3 linked regions of the Mus musculus genome follow. The protein of the gene in region 3 interacts with the protein of the main gene of each other region in a biochemical or structural test. Links are inferred from orthologs where the notes say so. Each region holds a gene or a part of one and is shown on either strand. Other genes may lie near its edges.

The links.
Region 1: the proteins of Pafah1b1 (region 3) and Ndel1 form a complex in vitro, tested with the Homo sapiens proteins (3 studies listed by BioGRID). The link is inferred for Mus musculus from reciprocal best matches to the Homo sapiens genes PAFAH1B1 and NDEL1.
Region 2: the proteins of Pafah1b1 (region 3) and Dcx form a complex in vitro, tested with the Homo sapiens proteins (2 studies listed by BioGRID). The link is inferred for Mus musculus from reciprocal best matches to the Homo sapiens genes PAFAH1B1 and DCX.

What each region holds. Positions count from the first base shown.
Region 1 is NC_000077.6:68,839,505-68,843,156, forward strand, and holds part of Ndel1 (nuclear distribution protein nudE-like 1), read right to left. Parts: intron 2,665-3,652; coding exon 2,516-2,664; intron 504-2,515; coding exon 367-503; intron 1-366. UniProt on the Homo sapiens protein: Required for organization of the cellular microtubule array and microtubule anchoring at the centrosome. May regulate microtubule organization at least in part by targeting the microtubule severing protein KATNA1 to the centrosome.
Region 2 is NC_000086.7:143,930,681-143,934,432, forward strand, and holds the start of Dcx (neuronal migration protein doublecortin), read right to left. Parts: upstream 2,540-3,752; 5' UTR 2,390-2,539; exon of another isoform or gene 2,217-2,389; intron 647-2,216; 5' UTR 625-646; coding exon 261-624; intron 1-260. UniProt on the Homo sapiens protein: Microtubule-associated protein required for initial steps of neuronal dispersion and cortex lamination during cerebral cortex development. May act by competing with the putative neuronal protein kinase DCLK1 in binding to a target protein.
Region 3 is NC_000077.6:74,686,340-74,689,991, reverse strand, and holds part of Pafah1b1 (platelet-activating factor acetylhydrolase IB subunit alpha), read left to right. Parts: intron 1-808; coding exon 809-1,015; intron 1,016-3,652. UniProt on the Homo sapiens protein: Regulatory subunit (beta subunit) of the cytosolic type I platelet-activating factor (PAF) acetylhydrolase (PAF-AH (I)), an enzyme that catalyzes the hydrolyze of the acetyl group at the sn-2 position of PAF and its analogs and participates in PAF inactivation.

The sequences.
Region 1 (3,652 bases), about 5.8 Mb from region 3:
AATACAATTAATAAGGAGAAAAATCCCAACTGAGAGCAGTACAACAGTGAAAAAGCTCCAACTCTCTGTGCCTCCTTCTGTTCACCTATAACATGGAGGTTCTACCTACTCCTCAGCACTGATGCTATGGGTATGAGATAATTGACCAGGTTAAAAGCACTTGGCACAACGATTGAAAGCTATGTAAAAGCATATAGAACTAGAGCTTCCGAGAAACTGAGGGCTGGAACACAGCTCAGGAGCAGAGTGCTTACCCAATTGCTCAAGCTCCGGGGTGACCCCTAGCACCATCAGAGGGGTTAGTCAGTCCTTGTGCTTACTCAGGCACAGGCAATGGGTAAACACTGGCTAAGTGATAGAGCTTACCTCTGGCTTCATCCTTTAACCTCTGTACTGAGACCAACAAAGATTCCTTTTCATCGAGCTCACTTTCTAAGAATGCATTTCGTTCAATGGCCTGATTTAGCCTTTGTTCAAAGTCTTCCAGTGAAACTATTGTTGCCCTTTAAAAAAAAATTATTTGAAGCCCATGAATTAAACAGCATGTTCAAACAGCTAGTACAAAAGAAAGCAATCAGTTTATCTCCTGCCATTCTTAACCCAGTCAGCCTGACCCAATTTGGAGAATGACTTCACTTCAGTCAGCAAAAATTAACACGGACCTACTCTTGTGGGCTCCCATTCCCTGGTATCTGCTACAAATACAAAATTCTCCAACCTAAAATTACAACTCAGAATACCAATTCCAATCTTTTTTTAAGACTGATTGATTTTATGGATATGAGTACATGTAGCAGTCTTTGGACACACCTATCAGGGCATCAGACCCCATCACAGACGGCTGTGAGCCACTATGTGGGTGCTGCGAATTGAATTCAGAACCTCTGCAAGAGCAGTCAGCACTTTTGCTGAGCAGTTTCTAGAGCCCTAAAATAACTCTCCCCCCCCACCCCCCGAAACAGGGTTTCTCTGTGTAGCCCTGGCTGTCCTGGAACTCACTTTGAAGACCAGGCTGGCCTCGAACTCAGAAATTTGCCTGCCTCTGCCTCCCAAGTGCTGGGATTAAAGGCGTGCGCCACCACTGCCCGGCCCTAAAATAACCTCTTTTTTTTTTTTTTTTTTTTTTTTAAGATTTATTTATTTATTATATGTAAGTACACTGTAGTTGTCTTCAGATACACCAGAAGAGGGCACCAGATCTCATTACGGGTGGTTGTGAGCCACCATGTGGTTGCTGGGATTTGAACTTCAGACCTTCGGAAGAGCAGTCGGGTGCCCTTACCCACTGAGCCATCTCACCAGCCCTCTTTTTTTTTTTTTTAAGATTTATTTATTATTATATATAAGTATACTGTAGCTGACTTCAGACACACCCTAAAATAACCTTTTTTTTTTAAGATGTAATTATTATTATACATAAGTACACTGTAGCGGACTTCAGACATTGTAGCTGACTTCAGACACACCAGAAGGCGGCGTCAAATCTTATTATGGATGGTTGTGAGCCACCATGTGGTTGCTGGGATTTGAACTCAGGACCTTCGGAAGAGCAGTCAGTGCTCTTAACCACTGAGCCATCTCTCCAGCCCCTAAAATAACCTCTTAATAACATACGTCAAACACCTTCTCGCCTCTCAGCCTTTTCACTGTCTCTTCGCCTAGTTAGTCTTTGCAGACATGCCCCAACTTGTAAAAAGGCTTCCTCGGTTCCCACAGATACTAGAGCTGCTCTAGAACAGGCTATACATTCTTCTTACCAGAGCTTTTATCAGAGCAAGCCTCTTATGGATCAGCTACAAGGACAGTGACTAGCATCATGTCAACCAAGAGTCAATCAATAAGTATAAAAGAAAAATACTAGGCAATAATTATAAAGTAGTATGAGTTAGAGTGGTTAAGAAAAAATAACAGAGGGCTGGAGAGATGCCTCAGCAGTTAAGAGCACTGATTGCTTTTCCGGAGGTCCTGAGTTCAATTCCCAGCAACCACATGGTGGCTCACAACAATCTGTAATGAGATCTGACGCCCTCTTCTGGTGTTTCTGAAGACAGCTACAGTGTACTTACATATAATAATAAATCTTTAGGCCGGAATGAGCGGGACCAACAGGAACAAACCGGGCCAGAGAGAGCAGAGGTCCTGAGTTCTATTCCCAGCAACCACATGATGGCTCACAACCACCTGTACAGCTACAGTGTACTCATATACATTAAATAAATAAATAAATCTGAGAAGAGAAGAGAAGAGAGGAGAGGAGAGGAGAGGAGAGGAGAGGAGAGGAGAGGAGAGGAGAGGAGAGGAGAGGAGAGGAGAGACACTCTAGAGGCAGAGGCAGGCAGATCTCTGAGTTCAAGATCCACCTGCTTCAGTCTCCCATGTTGTTTTGTTTCGTTTCCTTTAAATCCAATGAGTGACAAAGGACATAAGACACTGAAGGAGAAACGGGTTGCTAAGACGCATGTGAAAGCTTGAGCTGACAACTGGGTATGCTCATAGAATGCACAGCATCCTTTACCTTTTTGCTCGCTCCAGGTCATCATTGGCCTGCTCCAGCTCTCTCACATACTTATGCAGTTGCTCCTTAATGGCCCGGGTCTGACTTAAATCATCTTCTAACACTGAGACCTGCTTGTAGCTCTGTGCATACTGATGCTCTAGTTTCTCCTGAAAGAAGAGGTACAGAGAAAGATGTGTTATTAATATGTAATCATCTATTAATAAAGGAATTTCCCTGCCAGGCTAGATGTGCCCACTAATGCAATAACAGTATGAAGGTTAAAGGTGTAACCAACCACTTTTGGATTGAATCTGAGGCTGCCTTATGGAAGGGAATTCATGCCTGGTCTTGTAAACCAGGTCAAAGGTCACAGGCCATATTGAGGGACCTGTTTACAGGATTTTTTGCTAACCAATGTCTATCTGCCTAAACATGTGTTTATACCCATAGATCAGTACTGCCTTCAGCACTGGCCAGAGCAAGACTGAGTGCTCAGCCCTAAAGGGGACATCTCTAACACCACTATCCTATCCCACCAACAAGGCTCAGGAAACACCACAGAGACAGTGCAAAGAATGTAAGAACTAAAGGATGAGAAAGAGTTCTGTAAAATATTTAAAATGTTGTCTTCTGGATACAACATGGCCCTTGCAATCACTAAAAAGCTATAGTTACCTAAACAAGACCTATATAAGAGCAAGCTAACAAGATTAGTTAACATTACAACAGACAGAATTGTACTCACCGGGTTACAGGAGAGAAAAAGAGACAAGGCATAGGGGACCATGTTGAGAGGAGGAAGAGGGGGAAACTAGGGGTGGACGTGGTAATACATTATTTACATGAAATGGTCAAAGAATATAAAAGATATTGTTTTATTTTAAAACCATACTCTATTTCTAAAAGGAAGGAAATACTCTCCTAAGCCTCCAAGTCATAGATGTAGAGAAGAACGGAGCCCAGGGCCATGCACGTGTCAGGCAAACATCTGCCAACCACTGACCCATCCCTGGGGCCTGACAACTCCTTTCTGAAGATTTCTAACCCCAATTAACTCCAAAACTCAAGAAGCTATGAATACAAAAAAGAGAGGAAAGGAATGCATGTGTCATGTAAATATAATTTTAAGAGAGTACATGGTAAGGCAAGCAATTT
Region 2 (3,752 bases), on a different chromosome or scaffold from region 3:
TGTATACCCAGGTAGATAAGCACATTTAGCATTAGAAAACCCATATTCATGTCAACCTCAGCAGAGATGGAACCCCATGAGGAATGACAGTTAAGGATCCTGGTGGTGACTTTGGGATCAGAAGCCTGAGCATCAGTCAACTTGATGTTTTAGCAAACAAATAGCCTAGTTTCTTTCAAGGAAGACTAAAAATGTAACCATAAGCGAGGATGTCCTTTCCCTCTAGGGGCCACCACCCCACTACTCACTACTTGAATTACCTTCTTCCAGTTCATCCATGCTTCCAATCTTCCTGGATCCGTCAATGGTATAAATGTAGCGCACTCCCTGAGGCAGGTTAATGTTGTCAGACAAGGATCGGGTCAGGTCAGCCAGCAACGCATCAAAACTACGAAAACGGTCAGAAGAAACAGCGTACACAATCCCCTTGAAGTAACGGTCCCCATTGCGGTAGAAACGTACCTTCTTGGCCTTCTTCTCATTACTTAATGCCTGCAAGGTTCTGGTTCTGTAGAAGCTACAGTGGGCACTATGAGTGGGACTTGGAAGTCCATTCATCCGTGACCCTCTCATATTTCTAGATGCTTTGTCTCGTTCGTCAAAATGTCCAAAATCAAGTTCCATATTTTGGTGGAACCACAGCAACCTGATTGTTAGAGAAAAGGGTGGAGATAAGGAGAGGCAAAGAATAAGGATGGATAAGGGAGGGGGGAGAATTAAAATATTAGCCAGATCCAGAGCTGCAATCTGCTGCCTGTGAAAAGAACTGGTTGAAAAAAGCCTGTGACCCATCTGCTGCTTGTCCCTGACCTGCAGGAATATTGATCTTAATAGAGAAGAAGGAGGGGGCTGGGCAGTAGGCTGAGGACTGAATGGTGGGGAGGGGGATAGGAGGAAGAGATAGAAAGGGTGGCACTTTTGGCACTGTTCCAATTTGGGGAGGGCGTGTTGAAATAGCTTAAAAACCTGGAGCTTCCTGACAGTGGCTCCTATCAAATTGTAACTTCGGGCAAAATACATTAAAACTGGCATCTGCTCCTTCACACATGGCCACATGACTAACAGTTGTAAATGAATCCATAGCCTGACTAAATTCCCTCAAAGAGAAACAGAGGGAGCTAGCCAAGGTTAGCACCCTCCTGTAGGAAGCAGCCTTTGCATCTCAATACAATGGCTAGGAAGGGGGTGAATTACTTTTATTCCTTGTCCTTTTTTGCCTGCTCTAATATGTGTATCCCCTCCCCCAGAATAAACTAGGATTCTCTTTTAAAGGGACAGCCTCCAGGGAATACCCAGTGCCTTTGTGCTATTCATCAAACCCTCTCCCCATCAAGCTGGTGCCGCTATACGGCATCCATAAGAAATAAGCTGGGGTCTAAAAGGGGGAGGGATTGTCGAAAAAACCCAGTTATTTAGCAAGCTATTAGCTCTGCTTCCCTTTCATTTCCATTTGATCACAGAATCCTTTTTCTCCTTTCAGGTGTTTCATCCCCTCCCCGACCAATGAATGCAGCAACACCTCTTAATGGAATAATTGTGGAAAGATTCCCAAATGGGTCCCTGAATAGCACATGGGACCTTTCCAAGTAGGTACACCTTTCATTGTTCTGGGTTTCTCCCCTGACTGAAGGAATATTTTGCCCTCGAAGCAGGCAATTCACTTCAAACTTGTCTATTGCTTAGGTGTATTGATGGAGGGAAAAAAAAAGTCATCTGTCAAGCTTGGATTTCAACCCCCCTGAACCCGTCCCCCACCAGAAAAAAAAACGTCCAAAACAATGAAAACATGCAACCCAATAATACAACCAAAGCCCTAACCCCTTACAAAGGTAATGTGACATCCAAGAAACCAAACTATTAACATTCATCTCACAAATGGGGGGAAAAAGACTCACAAAGCAAGAGGGCTCAGCTGCTATATATATACTGCCACATCGAGATTTGCAAGAAACCAGGGAGAAAGGAGATAAAGGAGGACTGGTAGTTGGTATATTTGCCAGGCTCAGTACCCCCTTTTTTTCCAGTGTCACCATGACCTATGCTGAGCTCAGCATTGTCTCTGTCAGACAACCTGCAGTAGTAAGAGCCCACCTCCTCAAGATGAGTAGCAAGCATTTTCCCCAGGCAGGCTGTGCAAATAAAGCTATGCTTTAGAATCAGAAGTGCTATTATTCTAAATTAGCATCATAGTGAAAACAAAGGAACAACAAACTCACTTTTCCAAAGGAAAATCCCAGGTAGAATCTTAGAGGACAAAAATCCTATAGAATAAGGCAAATAAAAGAGAAGAAAGAGGCGAACACACAGAGAAAGAAAGCCGTGTGCCTTGTGCTTTCCCGGTTGACATCTGTTACATTCTGCTTGAAAATCACTCGAAAGCCCCACTCACCGGTTTTCTGCTGGTTGGGTGGAGATGCTGAGAGAAAGAAAACCAATCTCTCTATGCCTTTGTTGTCTGAGCTCCAAGCAAGAAATTCCTGCCAGGGTGGATAGTTGCCTTCTAGGTCCTAGTGCCTTGTCCAGCTTCTCCCCTGTAACTGAAGCTTAGCGAACACCCCCAACCTCCTATGATTAATTACATGCTTTTTTTTCTTCAATTCACAGCCTGCATTAACAGCTAGAAAGGTTTCGTTTATAACGCACAGGAAATTGCAGGGTAGGAAAAAAAAGATTGCACAGGCAAGCTCAGAATGCTCTAATGAGCAATGTGCTAGCCCTTTCTCTTAGAAAATTGGCAATTTTACTTGGCTAAAACCTTCTGCCTAGTGGCTGGACTCAGCAGGCCAAATCAAGTTTCTTAGAAATTACAGATCTCCTCTTTTTATCTTCTTCAAAGAAAATAAAAAATATGTAAATTTTTTAACATTTCGGCTCATGCATCCAACACTGGTTGTTTTTTAAACGAAGTCAGCAGGAATAGTAAATTGACAGTACACGGGAAAATAGTTGCAGGAATCATGAAGGCTGGAATTGAAAAGTGGCACTTCTCCAAGTTTTTGTTCAGTTGTTTTATCGAGTCAGGGTCCAGCTTTATAGTGATAGTTGTTCTGGAACTCGCTGTGTAGCCCAGGCTGACCTCTCATTTGCTGAAAATTTTCAGCCTCTGTTCTGCTTCTTGGCTACTAGAATTTGCCAGCACTTAGGTCTCTAGGCCCAGCATGACTCCAAAACATTTTAGACTGATGTAAAACATTGGTTAATGTTTCACCTTCCCACTCCTGGGCATATACCCAAAGGAGACTATAACCTACCATAGAGACACTTGCATATCTGTGTTTATGGCTGCTCTATTCACAAAAGCCAGAAAATAGAAACAGCCCAGATGTCTGTTAACAGATGAATGGGTAATGAAAATGCAAGATATATGCATGATTTTAATCACCCATCAGTAAAATGTGAAATTATGAGATTTGCAAGAAATTGTGTGGAACCGAAAATGATATACTGAGTGAAGTATCCGAGGCTGAGAGAGACAAAAGGATTTATTTTCTTTCTTTCATATGGGACTTTAGCTTATAGTGTGTGTGTGTGTGTGTGTGTGTGTGTGTGTGTGTGTGTGTGTGTGTGTGTAGACATCAAAAAAGGGAAAGCAGCACCTAAGAAGGGAAGTGTGTTTTAAAGATTGGGAATTGAGGTCTAGTCCGTAGAGTGGAATCTTCTGGTTCTATACAACTGGTTAAAAGCTACTATGTCTTTGGAGGTCATAGGCTCTAGGGAGAAACTGATTACTGTTGTTTGGCTCAATAGACATG
Region 3 (3,652 bases):
ATACTTAAGACATCATTTATGTTCTTAGAACAGTGCTTCTCATTGTGTGTTGCACTGCACCCCTTTGGGGTTAAACATTAGATACTTTTTGTATTATCAGATATTTACATTATAATTCATTAACAGTAGGAAAATTACACTTATGAAGTAGCAACAAAAGTAATTTTATAATTGGGGGTCACCACAATACAAGGATGTGTATGGTCAAAGTGTTAGAAAGGTTGAGAACCAATGCCTCGGAAGTTATAACTTAGTTGTAACTGAAAAAAGATCACTATGTGTCTTACATGAGTCAGTCTCATCTCTGAGGTTTTTGGTTTGTTTTTTGTTTGTTTGTTTGTTTCTTTAATATATAAGATGAAAGTAACATACTATTCCATTTCTAAAATACTCTTCACAGACAAAGTTAGAGTAGACAACATTGTTCTAATGTGAGCCCAACTATACCAAGCTTGTGGACAAGAACTAACACCTAGTAGATGCTCAGTAAATATTAGCTTTTGTTGTGAATATTACTACCTGTAGGATAAATAATAAACTGTGGTATAGGGGAAAAAACTCTAAAAATTACAGGCGTAAATCAAGCAAGGTAAGTGTTATGATCATCTTTATTAATAAATGTAAATGAAAGTTGTCTGGGTGGATTAGTTCCAGCTGGGCATAGTAACTCCAGCCTGTGGGAACTGAGACAGGAAGATCCTAAGTTCTGGACTACCGTAAGCTTCATAGTCACAGCCTACCTAAAAGGGAAAAAAACCCAAATATATTATAAAACACAACTTTGTTTAACTTCATGTTCCCTCTCAAGGTAATGGAATTAGAATCAAAACTAAATGAAGCAAAAGAAGAATTTACGTCGGGTGGTCCTCTTGGTCAGAAACGGGACCCAAAAGAATGGATTCCCCGTCCACCTGAGAAATACGCATTGAGTGGTCATAGGAGTCCAGTTACTCGAGTCATTTTCCATCCTGTGTTCAGTGTTATGGTCTCTGCTTCAGAGGATGCTACAATTAAGGCAAGTTCTTTTCATTTGTTCATTTTGCTTTTTGTTTTGTGGTTTTTGTTTTTTTGGTTTTTGTTTTAATTTTGTTTTGTTTTGAGAGACATGATCTTTTTTTCTATGTAGTCTTGACTGTCAGACTGACTTTGAACTCAGAGAAATTCTCCTACCTTTGCCTAGTAAATGATGTGATTAAAGTAAGGTAAATTTCTCTGAAAGGCAGACTTGATGTAAGTTAGGTGACAGAAAAGATTTTGAAAATTTTGAAAATAAGGAGGTGGCTCAGTGGTTAAGAGCACAGACTGTTCTTCCAGTGGTCCTGAGTTCAATTCCCAGCAAGCACATGGTGGCTCACAACTATATCTGTAATGGGATCTGATGCCCTTTTCTGGTGTGTCTGAAGAGAGCAATGTTGTACTCCTATACATTAAATAAATAACTAAATAAATAAGAAAGAATGAATTCAAGTTCATTAGCAGCTATATAGCAAATTTGAGGTTAGCCTAGGCTACCTGAAGCCCTGTCTCATAAAATAAAAATAACCCCCTGATATACTTCGGGATAAATCTAGCTAAGCAAGCACAGAATTAAACACACAGTTATCGCTTTCATGTAGATATGCTTGAATATATGATTGAAGTTAAAGGTTTTATTTGTTTAGAGCTTATCGTGATAATGTGCCCAGCACTCCAAAGTGAAACAGATGGTTCATGAAATAGCTTAAGCTACTAGCAAGACTGCTTTAAAAAAAAACAAAAAACAAAAAACAAAAAAAAATTCTGGCTGGGCACATACTGTACACCTTTAGTTCTATCTCTTATGAGGCAGAGGCAAACATCTCAGTTTAAGGCCAACATGATCTAGATAATGAGACTTTGTCTCAAAACAACAAAAATAAAATTAAGAAAAATACTTTACATTGTTGTGGTATAAGATATAAATCTGGGGCTGGAGAGATGGCTCAGTGGTTAAGAGCACCGACTTCTCTTCCGAAGGTCCTGAGTTCAAATCCCAGCAACCACATGGTGGCTCACAACCATCTGTAATGAGATCTGATGCCCTCTTCTGGTGTATCTGAAGACAGCTACAGTGTACTTAGATATAATAATAATAAATAAATCTTTTAAAAAAAAAAAAAAAAAAGATATAAATCTGGGCCAGGCGTGGTGGCGCACGCCTTTAATCCCAGCACTTGGAAGGCAGGGGCAGGCAGCAGGTTGGATTTCTGAGTTTGAGGCCAGCCTGGTCTACAAAGTTAGTTCCAGGACAGCCAGGGCTATACAGAGAAACCCTGTCTCGAAAAACCAAAAAATAAAAAAATAAAAAATAACCCCCCCAAAAAAAGATAAATCTGTATCTTTCATATTGTATACATACTAGAATTTACTTATAGTTTTTATATTTGCTCATCAGTTCTTTCAATTTTTTTATTTTGGTTTCATTTATTTATATATATATTTTTTGTCTTCTGGGATCTGTTTATTTTGGTTTCATTTTTTTGAGACATGGTTTCTCTGTAACAAGCCCTGGCTGTCTTGGATTTTCTTTGTACACCAAGCTGACTTAGATCTCAAAGCAGTCTACCTGCCTACCTCTGACTCCTGAGTCCTGGGATTAAAGGCATGAACCACCAGGCCTAGTTAATCAGTCTTACGTTGACTATTTAGATTAAGTTTTTAAAATGTGGGCTGGAGAAGATGGCTTAGCCATTAAAAGCACTTGCTGTTCTTACAGAGGATCAGTGTTTGGTTCTCAGATCCTTTATGGTGGCTCTTTAATGTATTGCCTAGGCATTTTTTTAAAATATTATCTATTTCTCCAAATTTTTGTGTGTGTGTGTGTGTGTGTGTGTGTGTATTCCCTATGACATTTAAAATTGTGCCCACTGTAGGTAGAGTGGTCTAAACTGAGTTTAGAGCACGGAATCAGTATTCAATTTTTTTTCTTTCTATTTCTGTTTGTGGCTGTTGTTTTTGTTTGGATTTTTAATGTTTTCCTGAGTTGTTAGAGATTGAATTGAACCTAATACTTGTTGCATGTGAAACAAGTGCAAAAATCATTATTTTTAAAAATTATTTATAACAGACTATGATTTGGCCACCAGAGCAAAGAGTATTCCTGAGTGATATCTGTAATATTCATTCATGTTAATTCATAATTTCTGTTTTACTAAAAATGTCTTCTAAGGCCCCAGTACAGGGGGACGGCAGGGCCAAAAAGGGGGAGTGGGTGGGTAGGGGAGTGGGGGTGGGTGGGTATGGGGGACTTTTGGTATAGCATTGGAAATGTAAATGAGCTAAATACCTAATAAAAAATGGAAAAGGAAAAAAAATGTCTTCTAAGAATGAGACTTTTTAAAGCTGGGTGTGGTAGCACACACCTTTAATCCTAGCACTCCATAGGTAGAGGCAGGTGAATTTCTCAGTTATAGGCCAGCCTGGTCTTCAAAGTTCATTCCAGGACAGCCAAGGCTACACAGAGGAATCCTGTCTTGGAAAAGGTGTTTTGGTTAATCATGAGCACTTGATTCAGGGATAGTTTATAGTTTATGATTTCTCCTTAGTCCTCTTAGTATCTGAACTCTTAATACTCTAGTAAAATTGAGACCTTAAGTCAGTCCACTGTTCTACATACAATGCTCCTAACACATCT